Struthio camelus: one gene and its partners. The protein of the gene in region 1 binds, or shares a complex with, the protein of each later gene. Links are inferred from orthologs where the notes say so. Each region holds a gene or a part of one and is shown in the gene's direction. Other genes may lie near its edges.

The links.
Region 2: the proteins of CRHR2 (region 1) and UCN are in contact, whole or in part, in a cryo-EM structure (PDB 7TS0), measured with the Homo sapiens proteins. The link is inferred for Struthio camelus from reciprocal best matches to the Homo sapiens genes CRHR2 and UCN. Residues at the interface, in NP_001874.2 of Homo sapiens: Phe68, Asn69, Gly70, Val71, Tyr73, Ile101, Leu102, Asp103, Asp104, Arg107, Asp110, Tyr113, Leu117, Asn120, Trp166, Leu169, Gln170, Val172, Asp173, His174, His177, Glu178, Thr188, Phe191, Asn192, Phe199, Phe256, Gly257, Lys258, Asp265; in NP_003344.1 of Homo sapiens: Asn84, Pro85, Ser86, Leu87, Ser88, Ile89, Asp90, Leu91, Thr92, Phe93, His94, Leu95, Leu96, Arg97, Thr98, Leu99, Leu100, Leu102, Arg104, Thr105, Ser107, Gln108, Arg111, Ala112, Asn115, Phe119.
Region 3: the proteins of CRHR2 (region 1) and GNA11 are in contact, whole or in part, in a cryo-EM structure (PDB 7TRY), measured with the Homo sapiens proteins. The link is inferred for Struthio camelus from reciprocal best matches to the Homo sapiens genes CRHR2 and GNA11. Residues at the interface, in NP_001874.2 of Homo sapiens: Arg148, Tyr208, Leu209, Ala212, Ile213, Thr216, Glu220, Lys293, Lys307, Ala311, Phe358, Tyr359, Phe362, Asn363; in NP_002058.2 of Homo sapiens: Arg37, Ile348, Leu349, Asn352, Leu353, Glu355, Tyr356, Asn357, Leu358.

Annotation. Positions count from the first base shown.
Region 1 is NC_090943.1:5,457,924-5,465,566, forward strand, and holds the start of CRHR2 (corticotropin-releasing factor receptor 2), read left to right. Parts: upstream 1-4,177; 5' UTR 4,178-4,262; coding exon 4,263-4,328; intron 4,329-7,643. UniProt on the Homo sapiens protein: G-protein coupled receptor for CRH (corticotropin-releasing factor), UCN (urocortin), UCN2 and UCN3. Has high affinity for UCN.
Region 2 is NC_090944.1:1,024,132-1,029,745, forward strand, and holds UCN (urocortin), read left to right. Parts: upstream 1-4,300; coding exon 4,301-4,615; downstream 4,616-5,614. UniProt on the Homo sapiens protein: Acts in vitro to stimulate the secretion of adrenocorticotropic hormone (ACTH). Binds with high affinity to CRF receptor types 1, 2-alpha, and 2-beta. Plays a role in the establishment of normal hearing thresholds.
Region 3 is NC_090967.1:7,834,988-7,842,794, forward strand, and holds the start of GNA11 (guanine nucleotide-binding protein subunit alpha-11), read left to right. Parts: upstream 1-4,358; 5' UTR 4,359-4,465; coding exon 4,466-4,601; intron 4,602-7,807. UniProt on the Homo sapiens protein: Guanine nucleotide-binding proteins (G proteins) function as transducers downstream of G protein-coupled receptors (GPCRs) in numerous signaling cascades.

The DNA of each region.
Region 1 (7,643 bases):
GTACTTAAAACTGGATTCACTCAGCTCTGCAAAAGAGACTTAAAAACCTACCTAAGATCCCTAATACGGAGTCAGTCTGTCCACCTTCCCAAAGAGCCTGCATTATTCGAATGCTGACAATGGGAGTGAAACCTGCATTTTGTGCTGAGTGTAGACAGCCTAGGTCAAGGTTGAGACGAATGCCAGAAACTGAACCCAGACTGTTTGGATGTTTTTATCCAACGATTGTCCAGTATAAAGTGCAAGCACCACTCTGCATCCACCCATGTCTGTGATCACCACATGTTCATCTCTTTCTGATCCCAGGACTTTTTCAGTCCAGGCCCAGCTTCAGAGAAGATACGGAGCATGCTTACTCAGGGTACTCATAGGACAGATGCAGCAACTAGAGTTTAGTCCCCGTAAACTGACTCCTATGATGAACCGAACACCTACGGTGTTCTTCGCAGATCAGTAGTCCAGCAATGTTATCCGTCTCATCGCTTCACTGGGAACATATCCTTGGAAGAGAGCTACAAACTCTGGGTCTTACCTGGATAGAGACATTTGATATTTCCTGATGGTTTCTTCCACTCTTGCTGAAAAATGTCTCATCCCTCTGGGAGATTGTCTAACATTTCAGTGATACAAAGTTGGCATCTTATTCATTCTGATTCCACCCTTTGGATACTTATATCTTGTGGGATGTCCTCATTATTATTATTATGACTTTTTTGGGAATTATTTAGTTATACTGTAGGAACTTCTCAGGGTTCCATACATGGCAAGGCCTTTACTGTGTTAGATGTTACACCAAGAGCTGGCTGTGCCCTCCCTCCAGGGAGAATGTTGTCTGTATGGTTTGGCTGCTGACAGCAGTGGGAATACTTGCAGGCTTGGAGTTGAAGATAAGTCCTTTCAGGACTCAGGCTTTAAGAAGTGAAACCCTCCTAAACAAACAAGGGGAAGTCATCCTTGTATGGGCACAATTGCAAGAAATATCTGAAAGTCATTTAGGCAGGAACTGAACAATTGGATCCATGCCATGATCCCATATGCAGCCTCTCTCCATCAGACTGATCAAAATTGTCACGTTCTTCTCCTGCATTCCTGAGTCTCTCTGTACTGACCTGATGTTTCTTATTCTTTTTCATAAAAGGGCAAGGCTTATATGTCACATCTACATGCACCTGTGTGTGTGTGTATATATCTGTGTCTGCAGATGTCTCTCTGTCTCCATTTTAACTCTTTGACCGATTTCATTCATAAAGCCAGCTATGGTGAATGTTCCTGCAAGTTTTATAGAAAGAGATGGTTGGGAGAAGAGTCCCCAGGAGCGTGCTGATTGAAAGAAAAGCTGCAGCACAAGCTCAGCCCTTAAGTAAAAAAAGGAGATCCGACGGAGAGTGACCTTATAACCAACCCCATCAATGAAAAGCTTTGGCTGGAGTTCACAATCAGCTGTAAGGGAAAAAGCCCTGGAAACGAGGCTGAGGGAATGACTTGTTTAATCCTTAGACAGTCACAATTTAGGGCGGTTTTGTTCTGTTTCAGTGCAGCCTTTACCATTATAAGGCTTTGGTTCTAGATAGTGCAATAAACATAGATAAATGATAACAGAAAGCTGTGGAGCAGCGTGGTGAAAAACCTTTCTGATTTCAGGGCAGCTGACCTATGTCTATGCATGTGCAGCTTCAGGCTTCCTTTGCTGATTCTCGTGCATTCACATAATCCTGTTGCATGTGTGTTTCCAGTCCTGGAGGTGGATATTTAAATACAATAAAAAACTGCTGGATTTATTTCTTCTTTTGCATTTTCATGAAAGCATTCATATTAATTGGAAGCATACAACTTTGGGTTTATGGTTTTGTTTTCTTTTAATAACAAAAGGAAACAAATATTAGTGTGCAACTGACAGGGGAGGAAGAACCAGGCAAGCTTAAATATTTAAATGCATTCAGACCGTTGAATAGCCAAAGGAAAAGAGAAAATAATACTGCTTTTTGAAAACTTTTGCTGGTGTGTTAGGAGGAGTATTCCAGGTTCACTATTGTATGTAACTGCACATCTCCCTACTATGAGATTCACATTGTATTAAGTGACATTATTAAATGGGATTTACAGACTTAAGCCTCTTTGTTGTGAGGATGAGAAGTTGCTGGTTTATACCTTTCTGAGAAAACTTCAAAAAGCAAAATAATTCAACAGCCCTCAAAGAAAGATATCCAGTTATTCTGGCTCTAAGTGAGGCTTGCTAAGCTTATGCAAACCCTGAGGATTTGTTGTGTAAAAGGGACTCTTTCCTCTGTGCCACTATGAACCTCATGCCAATCAATTTTGTTAAAAAATAAATAAAAAATAGAGGATTGGTGGGCAGGGAGTGTCTCAGGGAGGAAACGGCATCACCTCCCTGAAAGAAGACCATTGGCAACAGGTGACCTGGGCAGGCTTTCCCCATTAGAGGTGACAGTATGTGACACTGCTCCCTGCTGAAATCCAGCACGGGGCTGGGAAGGAACAGGTTGTACCTGTTTCTGCTCCAGAATTATAACTGAGGTTCATGCACTGCCTGTGGACGCAGATCAGCTTTTGGGGACAGTCCCAGCTGCAGTTGTGAGCAGATATTGATTGTGATTCACATTGCAGCTGGCTGTCCTCTGGGCAGATGAGACTGAGTGGAGAGGGAAAATCCTGCTAGGCTTAATGCTAATACTGGGCAGCCCAGAGTCTGATGCTGGCAGTCTAACAATACCACAAATGCATCCATTGCATGGACAGACCTATCTGGATGCAGAAGGCAGGGAGTTATTAGTTTTTAGGTACAGGAGTTATGGGCCCCAACTGTGTCTGGTGTCCAAATCCATAAAACTCCTGTTCATTTAGCACCAACAGCCACCCTGAGCAGAGGGGTGAGGAGTCAGAGCAGAGGGCCAGGAGCCCCTAGGGCAAGGGTGTCCGGGTGCGCATGGCATGAGGCTATGGGGTGACCTCGTTTTGCCTTTGCTGGCCTAGGGGTCCAGTCTGATAAGTATTCATGGATGAGAAGAGCAGGACAGAGATCTCTTTATGGAGATCAAATGCACAAGGAACAGCCACGCAGGCTGTTTTTGGCTTGCCTGGCTTGGAGGTTGTTCCCAGCTGAGAGGTGCAGTTGAGGAGTCTCACAAGGCAAACAAGGAGTGCTCTACGCTTAGGACGCTGACTGGAAAGCCTCCCCATTGCAGCTAACGAATAGCAAAGAGTATCCCCGTGCGCCCGCAGATTTGAGGGGAGGTGTTCTGATGAACTTGGTAAAGGATAAGCTAGAGCCCCCTTGCTCTTGGGGTACCCAAGAGGACTTGCTTCTGGTTATCATGGAGAGGCAGGTCCCCATTGCACCTAGGACCGTTGCATCTAGTCCTCAGGGGATCCCCACTATTCCAGGAGACTTGTCAGGTTGTTCTTCTAACAGATAGCACCAGGGAGAATTCCCCCTTTGAGGCAGAGGCTTGTGAGAGGTCCCCAGCGCACCAACACCCTGGGCGGTGAGGGACGCTGTTGATCCTAAGAGTTTCTTGGTGATAGAGTCCCCATTGCACCTAATGCTGGGGAGGGGGAGCGGGATTCTCATTACCCCTGGAGGCTTTTAGGGGTACGTCCATTGCACCTGGTTGTGGGGCAGGGTCCCCGTTGCACCTAGAGCAAGGGGGAATCCCATTGCTCCTGGAGAGTTATGTGTGTGTGTGTGGGGGGGGGGGGTCCCCATTACTTCTGGAGGTTTGCATCGGAGGCATCCCCCGTTTCAACCAACCCTTTGGGGAAGGGAATCGCCACGGCACTTAGCGCTTGGCAGGGGCTGACCCCCGTTGCTGCTGGCGGGTTGGGGGCAGTGGAGTCCCTACTGCAGCTAGTGCCCGTCGGCGGAGGTGGGGCAGAGATCCCTCTTGCACTCAGTGTGTGTGTGTGGGGGGGGGGGTCTCCGGAGAGGGAGCTCTCCCTTGCTCCGGGAGGCTTTGGGGGGGGTCACCGTCCCCGGGGGCTCCTCTAGCCGCCTCCATCCCCGAGGCGTCCCGGGCGGAGGGCGGGTTTGGCTCCCCCGCCCGGCTCCCTCCCTCCCTCCCTCCCGGGGGTTTGCCCTGGGACGCGCCGGCGGCGCCGGGGCTGGCTCCTCCGCGGGCGGGCAGGGGTCAAGGGCAGCGGCCGGGGGGGGGGGGGGGGGAGATGCCAGAGCCGGGGCATTGCGGAGGCTCCGGCTGAGCGGGCAGCTCCAGCCCCGGAGAGACCCCCTGGGCCCCGCCGGCCTCATGGCGGGGCGGGCACCGCAGCGCAGCCTCCCGGCGGCCGCCGCCGCCGCCCTCCTGCTCCTGCCCGTAAGTGCCGAGGCCCGTTGGGGCCGTGGAGGGGGTGGCGCGGAGGGGCGAGGCGGGGGGAGAGGGGAGTCAGGGAAGGAGGGACGAGGACGCCCCACCACTGCGGGGAACCCCCTCGGTCTGGGAGGGAGCGGTGGCTGCGCTCCGCTTCCTCACGGGTCCCGCCCGCCGCTGAGGGACCCCCTGTGCCGGCGGCCGTTAACGGCTCCCTCCGTCTCCAGGCCCTGAGAGACCTCGGCCCGGTGGCCGTTAACGGCTCCCTCGCAGACCCCGCCCCCATCGCCGGCCACTGAGACCCCCTCCCCGTGCCCGTTGCCCACTCCCTCCGTCTCCAGGCACTGGGTGACCCCATCCCGGAGGCTGTTTCCCAACTGCTCCCTCACAATCCCGCACCATCCCTGGGTGCTGAGAGACCCTCTCTTGGCGGCCGTTACCTGCTCCCTCGCAATCCCGCCGGGCGCTGAGAGACCCCGTCCCCGTAGCCGTTAACGGCTCCCTCACCATCCTGCCCCATCGCTGGGCGCTGAGAGACTCCGTCCTGGTGGTTGGTCACCGCTGGGAACGACATGATCCCCTCCGAGCCTCCAGGCTGAGGCATGGCCTCTCTGGGCAGCCCCTTGTCAGGGAAGGAGCTGCTTCCCCTTTCCCCACGCCCTGATTCCCTTGGTGAAAAGGCCCAGCGTGGGGACCCGCCTGGGGTGGCAGCGCCAGCCCCAAAGGCTGTCCCTGCCCCACACGAAAGGGCTTTTCCTGCCACCTCTCCACTTCAGCGGGAGCACGAGTGGCCCAGGTGCTTCCCCTCATCCTCAGCCTCCCACCCACAGCCAACCTCCTTCTCCCCGCCGCGTGCGCTCAGTGTCCCATTACTCTTTCGCCGTAGGGATACGCAAATAAATAGTGGTGGTGAAGGACAGGGCTCAGCCCTTGCATCCAGTGTCGTGTTTGCTCTGCGGCCTGTGTCAGCCTGGGCTTAAAAAATCTTTCCTAGCCCAGGCTCCAAAGTTGGACCAACTTTTTTGGTGGCTTGTTTGTTTTAAGTGATAGTTTTACGCATGTTGAGTGATACTTGCAAAGCAAATGTGAGAGATTAAGCAGGAGATACATTGATCTTGCTTGTAATTCGTTACAGTTGTTGCTGTAGCGTTAAAAAAGGGGGCAGTGGTCCTTCTGGCTTGTAGTGCAATTGGCCCATCTTCAATATCCCCTTAGAAAAAAGGAAGAAAAGCTGTTTTATTGTCACCTGTTCTATCTTGTTTTGTTATCTAACTTTATAAAGAAGGGTAAAGGGAAGCCAGGTCTGGGAAAGCAAGAGGCTCGAAAGGAAAACAACTTCTTGTTAAGAGCTTCGCAGTCACTTTCTAGATCTTGGAAGAGAGAGCATTTTCTCAGCTTCGCTGATGCCTTTTTTACCAGTCAGAGATCAGGGCACATGGGATCAGAGTGGCATGAGCCTGTCTACACACTTGCTGTTTTCAATTGCAAACCTCACTTCTTCTTAGTCTCTGCTTCTGCCCTCTTCAATTCTAGAGTTTTGTTTCCCCTTGTTGCTTTCCCCAGCTCCAGAAAAATAGTTTAGTTTATGTTTTAAACTATGAGAGACTTCTTGCCAGTGAGGCTGACAGAGCCAAAGGTACCCAGAGTTGCCAGACTAATCCTTTTTCAGTGAATCAAATTATGTCGTGCGTTTCCACTCCAGATGCAATTTATGGACAGATTTTCAGTTTTCCGTAACTTTGCATTTGGATTATTTATGTAAATTTTGGTGGTTGGCTTGCTTCTTTAAAGACAAAACAACTTCCTTGAAAGAAAGATTTTGTTTTCAAAGTAGCGCAGATTAAGAATCAAAATGCCATTTCCAGAAAATCCTTTTATTCTGAGAGAAATGTATATTTTGAGTGTATTCTGAGTGTGCTTATGTGGAGGAGTGTGTCTGGATGTAGCACATTTGTGTCTGATACACACTCGTGTGTATGTTTGTGCTGTATGTTGTGATAATGTGCTTGAACACCATCTTCAGCCGTATGTACAGGTCACTCCTGTTGCTCCAGTTATAAGAAATGTGGAGCTTTTACTCTTCTTTTGGGGTTGTTTTCATCCATGAATGTAGCTGGCAAATCTGTATCTCTGCTTTAATTTAGACAAAATTTTGCACCCTGAAGCTTAAGAGCAACCTTTAAAAACGTTGGCTCATATCCAAAGCTCTCAAGTTCAGGTATAACTTGCAAACACTTGAAAGTTAACTTGGAGTCAATGTTGTCTATTCACATTTCTGGATTTGGGAAAAGACATAGCTGCTGCTTGTGGGAGCAAACCCTTATATGATTACATAAAGGAAGCTTGAGTTTTTACAGCAACTGAACAATTGTGTTTTATAGGAACTACAAATTTGCAACACTTAAGAAACGAGGCAACTTTCTAGTACAGAATTAGATCTGCCACATGAAAGTGCTGGTGCAAATGATCTGTCAGATTTCTCAGGGCTGGTCAGCAGAAGGGTGAAGACTTACACAGCGGGCTCTGAGATTTATGTTCTCCAGAGGGTTTCTGTACATATGATACAGTGGAAAATGCATATACTTGAATGTGAAAAACAAACAAACAAACCATAAAACAAAGGCAATTGAGTCCTTTGACATTTTGATATAGAGTCCTTGCTAAGCTCACATATTTGGGGGGAAGGGGAAAGATTTGTCAAAAACAAAAGCAAAGTTTGCTATAATTCCATATGCTCTCCTGAAACTATTAAAATAGCCAGAGCAGTTTGAATATATCAGCCAGTGGTGACGAGTTAAGTAATATTCCTGGTCTGAGACTGCCAAAATTCAGGCCTACTGTGAATTAATGCAGCATAAATGTCTCATCATGAGACGCCTCTGCTGGTGTAACACTTTGGCAGGGTTGAAAACTGTAGCCATCCTGTGGTAATTGCTGTACATTTGAAGGAGACAGTTGTATGCAAGGAAAAAAGGGTGATTGATGTTGATTGGTAGTTTTGCCATGATATTCATAGTGGCTGTCAGCTAGAAAACAAGCAGCCTTCAGCTTTTGTTGGTATAAAGCATCTGCTTATATTTTACTATTCCATCAATAGCTGGGGAGAAATAATGACTAAGTCCTCTAAACTCTGTGGCCCTTGTATAGCAAACTAGACCACAGTTCTTTCTGTCTTACTTCTTGTGTGCCTCCGTTGAAGCTAGGGGAGGAAGATGGTGTGCGGATCTCATTGCAGAGCATGTGCTATCAGCTCCACGTTTGTTCAGTTTTGTTCTTGTTAGGTTACAGCTCTACCAATAAACTAAAAAGTCCCAGGACCAT
Region 2 (5,614 bases), on another chromosome or scaffold:
CAAGGCTGGCGCTGGAGGACTGCAGCTGGACCAAGGGGCTGGTCCAGACTATGGCAGATGGAGGTCAAGCAGATAGGCCCAAAGCAATGCGTGTGAGAGATGAGACCTGCACAGTGCACCCTGCGCAGGGCCGGGGTCCACAGAGCCCTCCTATCTGCAGGTCCTTCAGTGCCTGAGGGGCCACAGAGAGGCTCCAGCTCCAGGACTGCCTGTCCAGCCACCGAGCACCGCCTGCCCAGCCGGCCACCACCGCCCAGAGCCTCGTGCAGCAGCCGCCTGCCCACACTGCCGCCGGCTCAGCACGCGCTGCGCAGCCCCGGAGCTGCAGCAGCCCCCTTGGCCCAGCAACCTAGCACCCCCCCCACCTGCCCCCATGATAGCCCTGGCAGAGAAACACCCTCCTCGTGCCCAGGTGGTTGGACACGTTAGGGCCCCTCATCCTGGGCCCACTGGGGGGGGGGGGGGTCATGTTGAGCAGCGGTCAGGGGCTGCAGACAGGAGTGTGCAGCCTGCGGCTGTGCCTGGGGCAGCAGGAAGGGCCTGGCGCGGTCCCTGGGAGCGAGCTACAAGCACGGCACGAGCTGGGCAGTTGTGCCTGGGACCACCAGCCCTGCCAAGGCAGGACTGCAAAGGCGTTGGGAGCGTCGGCCCGGGCCCTGCTGGGCTCTGCACCAGAGCTGCGGGAAAGGCGGTGCCAGGCTTCACGCCAGCTCCGTGTCGGGGGCCATATGGTGCTGTGCGCTGCCTCGCTGTGGGCAGGATGGTGCCCCACTGCATCTGCACAGCTGTATGTGGGAAACGCGGTGCTACGGCCAGGGTGAACCACTGCCCCAGGCTCTGCAAAAGGTCTGCACTGTGAAAAGACCCCACTTAGAGCCCATCTTAGCACTGGCATTGGAGCTGGTGGCAAAGTGGTTCCCCTTGGCCACAAAGTGCCACGAGGCCAAAGTTCAGGGCTGCAGGGAGGGCCACAGCGTTCAAGGGCCTGCAAGAGCCGTGCAGTGCACCAGCAACCACCCTTGCCTCTTGGCAGCAGTGGCTGGTGCCCAGAGCTGGAACATCCTGCATGCACCAGCAGCACCGTGGGCTCGCGGTGCCTTCGCACTATGAGTCACAGCTATTTGGCTAGTGGTGCTTCCTTGCTGTTTTGGGCTGTCTGCAGAGCTTGGCCCTCAGAGCGCGTGGCAGTTTGACCTCCACACCTGTGAGCGCTGCCAGGGGCACGGTGCCACCTGGCTGGGCCGCACTGGCCTGGGTGGGAGAGCTGCTCGCCGGGTCGCATGTGCCTGACCCGTAGCTGTCCCGTGTTGGGAGGCCCGGTGGCTGAGGTCTGTCATCCCCCAGGAATGGTCCCCACTGCTGCCACCTGCCACGTGCTGAGTCTGGTGCCTCCCCCGGGAGCTGGGCACAGTGCCCCCCCCCCCCCCGGGCCGGGCCCCACAGAGGAGCCCATGGCCGGCACGCTGCAGCCCCAAGCTGCCAGCCCGGGCCGGTGTGGCGGAATGGGATGGGACGGGGCAGGATGGGACGGTGCAGGATGGGACAGGACAGGGTGGGATGGGACGGGGTGGAACGGGATGAGATGGGATGGGACAGGATGGGACGAGGTGGGGTGGGACGGGATGGGGCAGGATGGAGTGGGATGGGACGGGGTGGAACAGGATGAGATGGGATGGGACTGGGTGGGATGGGATGGGACGGGACAGGACAGGATGGAACGAGATGGGATGGGACAAGATGGGATGGGATGGGATGGGGCAGGACGGGGTGGAACAGGATGAGATGGGATGGGACTGGGTGGGATGGGATGAAACGGGATGGGACAGGATGGGACGAGGTGGGACGGGACGGGGTGGGATGGGATGGGGCAGGATGGGGTGGGATGGGATGGGGTGGAACAGGATGAGATGGGATGGGACTGGGTGGGATGGGATGGGATGGGACGGGACAGGACAGGATGGAACGAGATGGGATGGGATGGGATGGGGCAGGACGGGGTGGAACGGGACGAGATGGGATGGGACTGGGTGGGATGGGACGGAACGGGATGGGATGGGATGGGACAGGACAGGACGAGGTGGAATGAGATGGGCTGGAACGAGACAGGACGAGATGGGATGGGATGGGACAGGACAAGATGGGATGGGACGAGGTGGGATGGGATGGGACAGGATGGGATGGGACGGGATGGGACGAGGTGGAATGGGACGGGGTGGGACGGGACGGGATGGGACGGGATGGGGCAGGACGGGATGGGCTGGGATGGGGCAGGAGGGGACGAGATGGGACGAGGTGCGACGGGACGGGATGGGGGCCCCGGGCGCACGGCCCTGGCCGGGCCCGCCCACCCCGCTGCCGCTTCAGCACCGCGGACAGTGGCACCGCGGCGGGTGGGGGTGCGCGGCCGCGCGGCCAACCGGGGGCGGAGGGGGTGCACCGGGGGGCCGGGGGTGCACGAGGGTGGAGATGGGGGTGCACTGGGGGGGGGGGGCGGGAAAGGTGCACGAGGGCGAGGATGGGATGCACCGGGGGAGGGCGAGGATGCACGAGGGTGGAGATGGGGTGCACCGGGGGGTGCACGAGGGTGGAGATGGGGTGCACCGGGGGACAGGGGGGTGGAAGAGGGCGGGGATGGGGTGCACGGGCGAGGGGGGGGCCGGGAAAGGTGCACGAGGGCGAGGATGGGATGCACCGGGGCGGGGGGGCGAGGATGCACCAGGGTGGAGATAGGGTGCACCGGGGGCCGGGAAAGGTGCACGGAGGTGGGGCCGGGATGCACCGGGGGGCCGGGGGGTGCACGAAGGTAGAGATGGGGTGCACCGGGGGCCGGGGGGGGTGCACGGAGGTGGGGATGAGGTGCACCGGGGGCCGGGAGGGGTGCACGGAGGTGGGGCCGGGGTGCTGCGCAGTGAACTAAGGGGTCGGGAGGGGTGCACCGGGGGCAGATGGGGTGCACCGTGAGTGGGGCCGGGGTGCACGGGTGGACGGCTCCGTGTACCGGGGGTGCAGCTGTAGTGAACCGTCGGGCTGTGTCCGCCGCCCGACGGGGGGGTGCGCTCGGTGCAGGGGGCCGGGGCGGCACCCCCGGGAGCTCGGCACCTGCGGGGCCCGCACCCTCCGGGCCAGGCGGCAACGGCAAGGCGGGCGCGGCCGCCGCAGCCTCTGCCGGTGCGCGCAGGGCCGGCCCCGGGGCGCCGCCGTCCCGGGGCCCCTTCCGCGCTCCCCGCCGCCCCCCCCCCCCCGCCCCCGGTCGGCCGGTGCGTGCCCGGCGCTGACGTCAGCCCGAGCTCCCGGCCCTATATCAGCACCGGTCGCGCCGCCGGCTCAGCTCCCGCGGGACCGACCGCGCTCTGCTCCACCTCCAGCGCTCCGGCACGGGACAGGGCACCGCACACCGGGTACGGCACGGTGCACGGGGCTGGGGACGGTGCACGGGGCTGTGGGACGGTGCACGGGGCAGGGAGCGGTGCATGGGGCTGGGGACGCTGCACGGGGCTGTGGGACGGTGCACGGGGCAGGGAGCGGTGCATGGGGCTGGGGACGGTGCACCGGCTGTGGGACGGTGCACGGGGTAGGGAGCGATGCACGGGGCTGGGGACAGCGCCCGGCGCCCCGGCTGCGGAGCAGTGCACGGGGCTGGGGACGCTGCACGGGGCTGTGGGACGGTGCACGGGGCAGGGAGCGATGCATGGGGCTGGGGACGGTGCACCGGCTGTGAGACGGTGAATGGGGCAGGGAGCGATGCATGGGGCTGGGGACGGTGCACCGGCTATGGGACGGTGCACGGGGCAGGGAGCGATGCATGGGGCTGGGGACGGTGCACCGGCTGTGGGACGGTGCACGGGGCAGGGAGCGATGCATGGGGCTGGGGACGGTGCACCGGCTGTGGGACGGTGCACGGGGCAGGGAGCGATGCATGGGGCTGGGGACGGTGCACCGGCTGTGGGACGGTGCACGGAGCTGGGGACGATGCACGGGGCTGCGGGACAGTGCACGGGGCTGCGGGACGGTGCACCGGGCAAGGGAGGGTGCACCGGGCAGGGAGCGATGCATGGGGCTGGGGACGCTGCACCGGCTGTGGGACGGCGCACGGGGCTGGGGACAGTGTACGGGGTAGGGAGGGGTGCACGGGGCCGGGGACGGTGCACCGGGTGCGGGACGAGCCCCCGGGGCGCCGGTCCCCAAGCCTCCGTGTCCCCTCCGGCTCCTGGGTACGGGAGCCTCCCGGGACGCCGAGGCCGCGGGTCCCCCCGGTGCCCGCCACGCGCCCCGTGCTCCGCAGGTGCGGACGGAGCCCAGGATGCGGCGGGCGCTGCTCACCCTCCTGCTGCTGCTCGCCCGCCCGCCGCCGCCCGCCGCCGCCCGCCCCGCGCGCCCCGACGGCGCCGTCCCGGGGGCAGCGGCCGGGGCCGGGGCCGAGGCGCGGGGCCGCCCGGCCTGGCCGCCGCTGCCGCCGCCGCCCCGGGAGCCGTGGCGGGCGCGGCGGGACGAGCCGCCGCTCTCCATCGACCTCACCTTCCACCTCCTGCGGCACCTCCTGCTGCTCGCCCGCGCCCAGAGCCAGCGCGCCCGCGCCGACGACAACCGCCTCATCCTCGACGCCGTGGGCCGCTGAGGGGCCGCCCCGCCGCCGCCGCCGCATCCTCCTCCTCGCCGGGGGCCGCTGAGCGCCGCACCGGCCGCCCCGCCGGCACCGGCACCGGGCTGCGCCCGCTGCAACCGCCCCCTCCCGGCCGCCGGGGCAGGCGGGCGCGGTACCGGCCCCGGGACGGGTCGGCAGGCGCCGCCGGGCCGGCTCCGGTTTTGTAATAAACGTGGTGGAAACCCGCGGCCTGAGCGAGTGCGGGGCGGGGGCTGCGCGGGGCCGGGACCAGCGGGGCCGGCAGCGCCGAGCACACGGGGACCGGCGGAAGGGGGCTGTGCCCGGCCCCGCTGCCGGGGGGGGGATGCTGTGCCCGGGAGGGATTGCACCCCGCCGCCCCGGCGTGACAGGAGGTGGTGGTGGCTGTGGTGGGGGGCAGCGTGATGGGAACAAGAGGGGCTCCCGAGACCGGCCAAGCAGGGCAAGGGCCCCCGAGGTGTGCGTGCCCAGACGCTGGCAGCCGGGGCACCGGCGGGGTGGTCCTGCGCGGGAGGGACTCGGGGTGTGGGGCTCCTCTGCGGGGCAACGGCAGCTGGGCCAGGCCTGGAGGGGAGGGCAGCGAGGCGGGACGGCACGGTGGGAGGGGTGTTACAGAGCACCGACCCAGAGGAGGACATGGATGAAGCCTTCTCGAAGCAGTTGGAGGAAGTATCCTCATGGGGGACCCTGGTCCTCAAGGAGGGGGCTTGAACTTCCCCGGTATCAGCTGGAAGGGTGACATGGCAGGACACAAGCCATCACGGATGTTTTTTTTTGGGAGGGGGGTGTCAGGGGTGACTTCTAGATGCAGGTACTGGATGGGTCAACCTTGGGAGATACACAGTGAGGTCTGCTGGTCACTGACAAGGAAGCGCTGCCCGGGGATGTTACTAGCAGCCTTGGCTGTAGCAGCCATGAAATAGTGGAGTTCAGGCGCCAGAAGGGAGTGAGGAAAGTGCCTAGCTGAGTGCAAACCAGCATATTCATGAAACT
Region 3 (7,807 bases), on another chromosome or scaffold:
GCGCCGTGTGCCGGAGCACGTGCCGATCCGGAGGGTCCGGCCGAGGCCGACATCGACACATGCCCTCGCCAGCGCCATGTACCGGGGCACGCGCTGATCCGGAGGGTCCGGCCGAGGCCGACGCGCCCCTCGCCAGCGCCGTGTGCCGGAGCACGTGCCGATCCGGAGGGCCCGGCCGAGGCCGACGCGCCCCTCGCCAGCGCCGTGTGCCGGAGCACGTGCCGATCCGGAGGGTCCGGCCGAGGCCGACGCGCGCCCTCGCCAGCGCCGTGTGCCGGAGCACGTGCCGATCCGGAGGGTCCGGCCGAGGCCGACATCGACACATGCCCTCGCCAGCGCCATGTACCGGGGCACGCGCTGATCCGGAGGGTCCGGCCGAGGCCGACGCGCCCCTCGCCAGCGCCGTGTGCCGGAGCACGTGCCGATCCGGAGGGCCCGGCCGAGGCCGACGCGCCCCTCGCCAGCGCCGTGTGCCGGAGCACGTGCCGATCCGGAGGGCCCGGCCGAGGCCGACGCGCGCCCTCGCCAGCGCCGTGTGCCGGAGCACGTGCCGATCCGGAGGGCCCGGCCGAGGCCGACGCGCGCCCTCGCCAGCGCCGTGTGCCGGAGCACGTGCCGATCCGGAGGGCCCGGCCGAGGCCGACGCGCGCCCTCGCCAGCGCCGTGTGCCGGAGCACGTGCCGATCCGGAGGGCCCGGCCGAGGCCGACGCGCGCCCTCGCCAGCGCCGTGTGCCGGAGCACGTGCCGATCCGGAGGGCCCGGCCGAGGCCGACGCGCCCTCGCCAGCGCCGTGTGCCGGAGCACGTGCCGATCCGGAGGGTCCGGCCGAGGCCGACGCGCGCCCTCGCCAGCGCCGTGTGCCGGAGCACGTGCCGATCCGGAGGGTCCGGCCGAGGCCGACGCGCCCTCGCCAGCGCCGTGTGCCGGAGCACGTGCCGATCCGGAGGGCCCGGCCGAGGCCGACGCGCGCCCTCGCCAGCGCCGTGTGCCGGAGCACGTGCCGATCCGGAGGGCCCGGCCGAGGCCGACGCGCGCCCTCGCCAGCGCCGTGTGCCGGAGCACGTGCCGATCCGGAGGGCCCGGCCGAGGCCGACGCGCCCTCGCCAGCGCCGTGTGCCGGAGCACGTGCCGATCCGGAGGGTCCGGCCGAGGCCGACGCGCCCTCGCCAGCGCCGTGTGCCGGAGCACGTGCCGATCCGGAGGGTCCGGCCGAGGCCGACGCGCCCTCGCCAGCGCCGTGTGCCGGAGCACGTGCCGATCCGGAGGGCCCGGCCGAGGCCGACGCGCCCCTCGCCAGCGCCGTGTGCCGGGGCACGTGCCGATCCGGAGGGTCCGGCCGAGGCCGACGCGCCCTCGCCAGCGCCGTGTGCCGCGGCACGTGCCGATCCGGAGGGCCCGGCCGAGGCCGACGCGCACCCTCGCCAGCGCCGTGTGCCGGAGCACGTGCCGATCCGGAGGGTCCGGCCGAGGCCGACGCGCCCCTCGCCAGCGCCGTGTGCCGGAGCACGTGCCGATCCGGAGGGTCCGGCCGAGGCCGACGCGCCCCTCGCCAGCGCCGTGTGCCGGAGCACGTGCCGATCCGGAGGGTCCGGCCGAGGCCGACGCGCCCCTCGCCAGCGCCGTGTGCCGGGGCACGTGCCGATCCGGAGGGTCCGGCCGAGGCCGACGCGCCCCTCGCCAGCGCCGTGTGCCGGGGCACGTGCCGATCCGGAGGGTCCGGCCGAGGCCGACGCGCCCCTCGCCAGCGCCGTGTGCCGGGGCACGTGCCGATCCGGAGGGTCCGGCCGAGGCCGACGCGCCCCTCGCCAGCGCCGTGTGCCGGGGCACGTGCCGATCCGGAGGGTCCGGCCGAGGCCGACGCGCCCCTCGCCAGCGCCGTGTGCCGGGGCACGTGCCGATCCGGAGGGTCCGGCCGAGGCCGACGCGCCCCTCGCCAGCGCCGTGTGCCGGGGCACGTGCCGATCCGGAGGGTCCGGCCGAGGCCGACGCGCCCCTCGCCAGCGCCGTGTGCCGGGGCACGTGCCGATCCGGAGGGCCCGGCCGAGGCCGACGCGCGCCCTCGCCAGCGCCGTGTGCCGGGGCACGTGCCGATCCGGAGGGTCCGGCCGAGGCCGACGCGCCCCTCGCCAGCGCCGTGTGCCGGAGCACGTGCCGATCCGGAGGGTCCGGCCGAGGCCGACGCGCACCCTCGCCAGCGCCGTGTGCCGGAGCACGTGCCGATCCGGAGGGTCCGGCCGAGGCCGACGCGCCCCTCGCCAGCGCCGTGTGCCGGGGCACGTGCCGATCCGGAGGGCCCGGCCGAGGCCGACGCGCCCCTCGCCAGCGCCGTGTGCCGGGGCACGTGCCGATCCGGAGGGCCCGGCCGAGGCCGACGCGCGCCCTCGCCAGCGCCGTGTGCCGGAGCACGTGCCGATCCGGAGGGTCCGGCCGAGGCCGACGCGCCCCTCGCCAGCGCCGTGTGCCGGAGCACGTGCCGATCCGGAGGGTCCGGCCGAGGCCGACGCGCACCCTCGCCAGCGCCGTGTGCCGGAGCACGTGCCGATCCGGAGGGTCCGGCCGAGGCCGACGCGCGCCCTCGCCAGCGCCGTGTGCCGGAGCACGTGCCGATCCGGAGGGTCCGGCCGAGGCCGACGCGCGCCCTCGCCAGCGCCGTGTGCCGGAGCACGTGCCGATCCGGAGGGTCCGGCCGAGGCCGACGCGCGCCCTCGCCAGCGCCGTGTGCCGGAGCACGTGCCGATCCGGAGGGTCCGGCCGAGGCCGACGCGCGCCCTCGCCAGCGCCGTGTGCCGGGGCATGCGCTGATCCGGAGGGTCCGGCCGAGGCCGACGCGCGCCCTCACCAGCGCCGTGTGCCGGGGCATGTGCCGATCCGGAGGGTCCGGCCGAGGCCGACGCGCCCCTCGCCAGCGCCATGTACCGGGGCATGCGCTGATCCGGAGGGTCCGGCCGAGGCCGACGCGCGCCCTCACCAGCGCCGTGTGCCGGGGCACGTGCCGATCCGGAGGGTCCGGCCGAGGCCGACGCGCCCCTCGCCAGCGCCGTGTGCCGGGGCACGTGCCGATCCGGAGGGTCCGGCCGAGGCCGACGCGCCCCTCGCCAGCGCCGTGTGCCGGGGCACGTGCCGATCCGGAGGGTCCGGCCGAGGCCGACGCGCGCCCTCGCCAGCGCCATGTACCGGGGCACGCGCTGATCCGGAGGGTCCGGCCGAGGCCGACGCGCGCCCTCACCAGCGCCGTGTGCCGGGGCACGTGCCGATCCGGAGGGTCCGGCCGAGGCCGACGCGCCCCTCGCCAGCGCCGTGTGCCGGGGCACGTGCCGATCCGGAGGGTCCGGCCGAGGCCGACGCGCCCCTCGCCAGCGCCGTGTGCCGGGGCACGTGCCGATCCGGAGGGTCCGGCCGAGGCCGACGCGCCCCTCGCCAGCGCCGTGTGCCGGGGCACGTGCCGATCCGGAGGGTCCGGCCGAGGCCGACGCGCGCCCTCGCCAGCGCCATGTACCGGGGCATGCGCTGATCCGGAGGGCCCGGCCGAGGCCGACGCGCCCCTCGCCAGCGCCGTGTGCCGCAGCACGTGCCGATCCGGAGGGCCCGGCCGAGGCCGACGCGCCCCTCGCCAGGCCGCGAGCTGCAGCTCGTGGACGTGGCGGCGCCGGCTGCGGCCGGGGCTGCGGCTCGTTTCGGGAAGCGGGGCAGGAGGCCAAGGACGACGCTCCCCTCGCCGTGCGGGGGCAGCTGGGCCCTCACGGGAGCGGCCGCCGGCCGAGGGGGCAGCACCGGGCCCCGCGGCCGAGCAGCGCCCCGGCCCTGCCTCCTCCCTCCCTCCGGGCCGAGGGAAGGGTCGGGCCGCGGCCCGAAGCGGCCGCCGAGCCCTGGGCCCCGCAGGCCGGTCACCGCCCCCCCGCCGGGCCCGGCCCCGCCCGGCCCCGCCCGCCGCCGCCGCCGCCACCGCCCCGCGTCCTCCACCGTCCCACAATGCCCCGCGGCCACGCCCCGGCTCCCGAAGCGCGCGGCCGCGCGCCCTCCTCCCCCGACCGGCCAACCAAGCTTGCGCTCCGGCTGGCCGCGGGGCCCTGCCCCCGGCGCGCCTGGCCCCGCCCCGCGGCCGCGCCGCGCATCCCCAGTGGCCCTCGCGGCCGTCAGTCAGCGGTTGTTTTCAGCGGCAGCGGGTTGCGTTGCGCCCGCTCGTCGCTGGCTCGGCGGGGCGGTGTGAGAGGAGGGAGCGGCGGGCGGGCGGCGCGGCGGGGCCGAGGGCAGCGCGCTGAGGGCGGCGGCGGCGGCGCTAGGCCCGGCCGGGGGGGTCGAGGCCGGGGCCGCGCCGGGCCGGGCCGCGGCCGGGAGGGTGGGGAGGGGGCAGCGGGCCGCGAGGCCGCGCCGGGCCGGGCCGGGCCGGGCCCCGGCGTGCGGAGGAGGGCGGTGGGCGGCGGGGGGGTGGGGGGCGGGCGGGGGCGTCCCGGCGGCGGCGGGACCATGACTCTGGAGTCCATGATGGCCTGTTGCCTGAGCGACGAGGTGAAGGAGTCGAAGCGCATCAACGCCGAGATCGAGAAGCAGCTGCGGAGGGACAAGCGCGACGCCCGCCGCGAGCTGAAGCTGCTGCTGCTGGGTGAGAGCGGCCGGGCCGGGCCGGGCGGCGGTCCCGGCGCAGCGGGCGCACGTGGAAATCGCCTCGGGGAGGCGCGTCCGAGGCTGCCCGCGCCCGCGGGCCTCGGCGGTGCCCCGGCGCTTCTCGGCCTGGCCGGCCCACGCCTGGGCCGTGGGCGAGCGGCTGGGCGAAGGCTGGCCTGCCGCTCCCGAGGCGCCGAGCCCGCCGCTGGCCCGCTCTGGCAGACCTGGCGGGGCGCGGGCCAGGCGTTGAGCGTTACCTGCCGGGCTGGAGGTCCCCTGCGCTGTGATGAGGGTGTAGGAGTTGGCGTAGAAACATAGCGGTGTCCCGCCATTGTACAGAGCGATAGCTATACCTGGTTTACAAAAGGATTGCAGGGAGAGGTGGTCTGTTACAAGAGCAACCAGCTAAGGCTTCAAGAACGTGCATCCTTCTTCAGCATCTGCTGTGATGTTCACTCCCAGGTAGCTTCCAAATGAGACTTAAGTTACAGTTTTCGTGGGTACTGGAATTCATCACTGCTCACGTATGTATCCTGGTTTGTGTCTCAATAGTGGCATCATTTCAAACTGGAACGTGAAGCAGGTCTGATGGAATAAGTTTATTCATTTGTAGTCTGTACTGAACTGGCAAACCTGTAAGGCACAGGTGAAAAAGTAGGTTGAGCCTTGTGAAAACAAATGCGAGGCTGTATCTGCCCAGTCCTTTGGAGATCTGTAGCACTGACATGGTGGCATAGAGATATTTATTAAGTAAAGGCTATGGCTTTCCTTCTCACCTTGCTAGAACTCAGAGTGAGAAGATACCTTGGCTGTGGATATACTACTGTCCTTCAGGTGAAAGAGAAAACTGAGGGCTTCACATTTGTGTTCTTTGAAGATGCTGTGCTGGTTTCTATAAGGCTTCTTGTAGGCTGGGAAAGGTGTCTCTTGGACTCGGATACTTCTTTAAAACCTACAGTCCTACAGAAGCACTTGTTTTGAAGTAGGCTGGAGCCATAGGCCAGATATGGGCTAAGAAGATCCCCATCTAATCTCGCTAAACTGGTTCACTTCAGAAATTAACTTCAAGTTGCTCTAGAGACCTTTCTCTTTTCCTAAAAGATAGACTTAAGTAAGATTCAGCATCAGATTAAAAAATAAAAAAAAAATCAATGTGGGATGGTTAAGACTGAATAACTAACACTCCCATTTTCAGGACATGATTAGAAAGACCAAGCCTTTTTTCCTGTTTGCAGGGTGCTTTTCACTGTATGCAGTATTGCTCATTGCCTGTCTTAAGTTGTTGCAGGTAATGTATGTTCTCTCTCCTTGACAGAACTGCCGTTTGTAGGGTTTTCTTGTTTCTCGTTTCTGTTACGTAGTATTCTTACGTTCACAAACGTGAACGATCATGTTAGAGAGAGCTTTCTCCAAACGCTCAGTATTTTGAGAAGAATGTGTGTGGAGGGAGTTTCTGCACTGTAGAAGCTGTAGTAACTTTTTCCTGTCTTCTCTGTCTAGTGTGACAGTTAAAACTTGAGGTGAAGAATAACAGAGCTGTACGATGAACCTGATAGTGAGAAATGTGATTTCAAGGTACTGGACATACCCCCTGGTATTAGGCAATCATTGTTCTCTTTACTGGATGTGCGTGTGTAGGGGGGCTGTTTTAAACAAAAATTAATCTGATTCTTGAATTATGATTAAGCGTGGAATACTGTTGACTGAATAAATATATTTACAGGTGGCTGTCAGGTACTTGAGGATCAGTAGTAACTTACTGGAAACTCTACAGCTTTCACATGCTGACAGAAAAAATGGTGGGTTCAGGTTGTCTCCTTGGCTCAATGCTGTCAAATTAAAAAAAGTTATTGTGTCCTTATGAATATAGGCGACTACACTCAGCAGAGCTTGTAATGTTCTGCTGTGGTGCTGTTCTGTATTGTTGATGGCCTGCAAAAAAGCAAGAGGCACTTTTTTTTTAAGAGGGGAGTGATGATGAAGCGTTGGGAAGAATCTGTGTTTGAACTCTGAAGTTCTGAAGTAAGTGAGATCTGAAGTGAATGAATGCTGCTGAAGTTTGTTTTATGTTTTTGTTATCAGAACGTTTTGAGGCACCTCTATCTTTTTTTCTTTTTTCTGTTTTGGTTGCTGTGGTAAAAAACAAGGAAGTATTTCTCACCACAGTGTATTAACCACAGAAGATTTCGGTTTCCGAACTTCTGATTATTTTTTTTTTTCCCCTTTCTCTCCCCCTTCGTGGTGAAGCTTTCTGTTTCAGATAGAGACAGTTTACTGCAGGATAATGGTGGTTATGGTGCTAATTTCTAATTAGGCTGCCAAAAATCCCATCAGTTCTCAGAGACGGGGAGAGTTTGACTCTCTATTTTAAACACACTGCTTCTAGTTACACTTTTGCTGCTTGTATTTGAGCATATCTATTTGTTTGTCTTTTAGCCTGGTACTATAAACATGGGTAACTGGGAATCTACCTCTGAGTAGTGGTTGTGTGTTGTGACGAATGAGATCCTGTCTGAATATATCTGTCCCCTGGTGTGAGGTGACTACCTGGTGGTTCCTGTGGTGAAAGCCAGGGTTCTGCCAGCGTGTTTGTTTGTAACCACAGGTCAAAAGGATTTGTCGCTTAGGAGCCACGCTTTAGTTTTTTGCTCTTAGTAATCAAGTGAGTTGGGCCACTTTAATAATAAAGAGCTATCATTCTGGATTAGCTTTCTGTTAAATGCATATCAATAGCAAATTTTGGAAAATTGAGCAAAAGTACTCAACAGAAGTGTCAGTGGTGTATCCTTTGGCTGTTGCTTGTGGGATGAAAGTATGGAAGTATGCTAATCATACGTAAGATTTGACCCTTGCATCCCCTGCACGGAAGATATTGTGTAAACAGAGTGGAAGTTGCTGGGGGAATTCCATAACACCAGTTGAATCATGATTGTAACAAGGCTGGGTATGGCATGAATCCTTTATCTGCTGATGCTTTTTCCACCTCATGCTCACTGTGTTAGAGGGTTCCCGCCACCTTCGTATCCTCTGCTGGCCTTCAATTGCTAGCTGATGCTTTTCTGGAGCCTTAAATATGGGGGTGGGAAGACCTGCCCAACTGACTGTGCAGGAAGCAGACTTTGAAAGGGTTAGACTATTTAATACATTGGCATTGGTATGAATCTGTCTTGCCCTCCCAGCTACTCGAAGACACGGCTTCCCCTG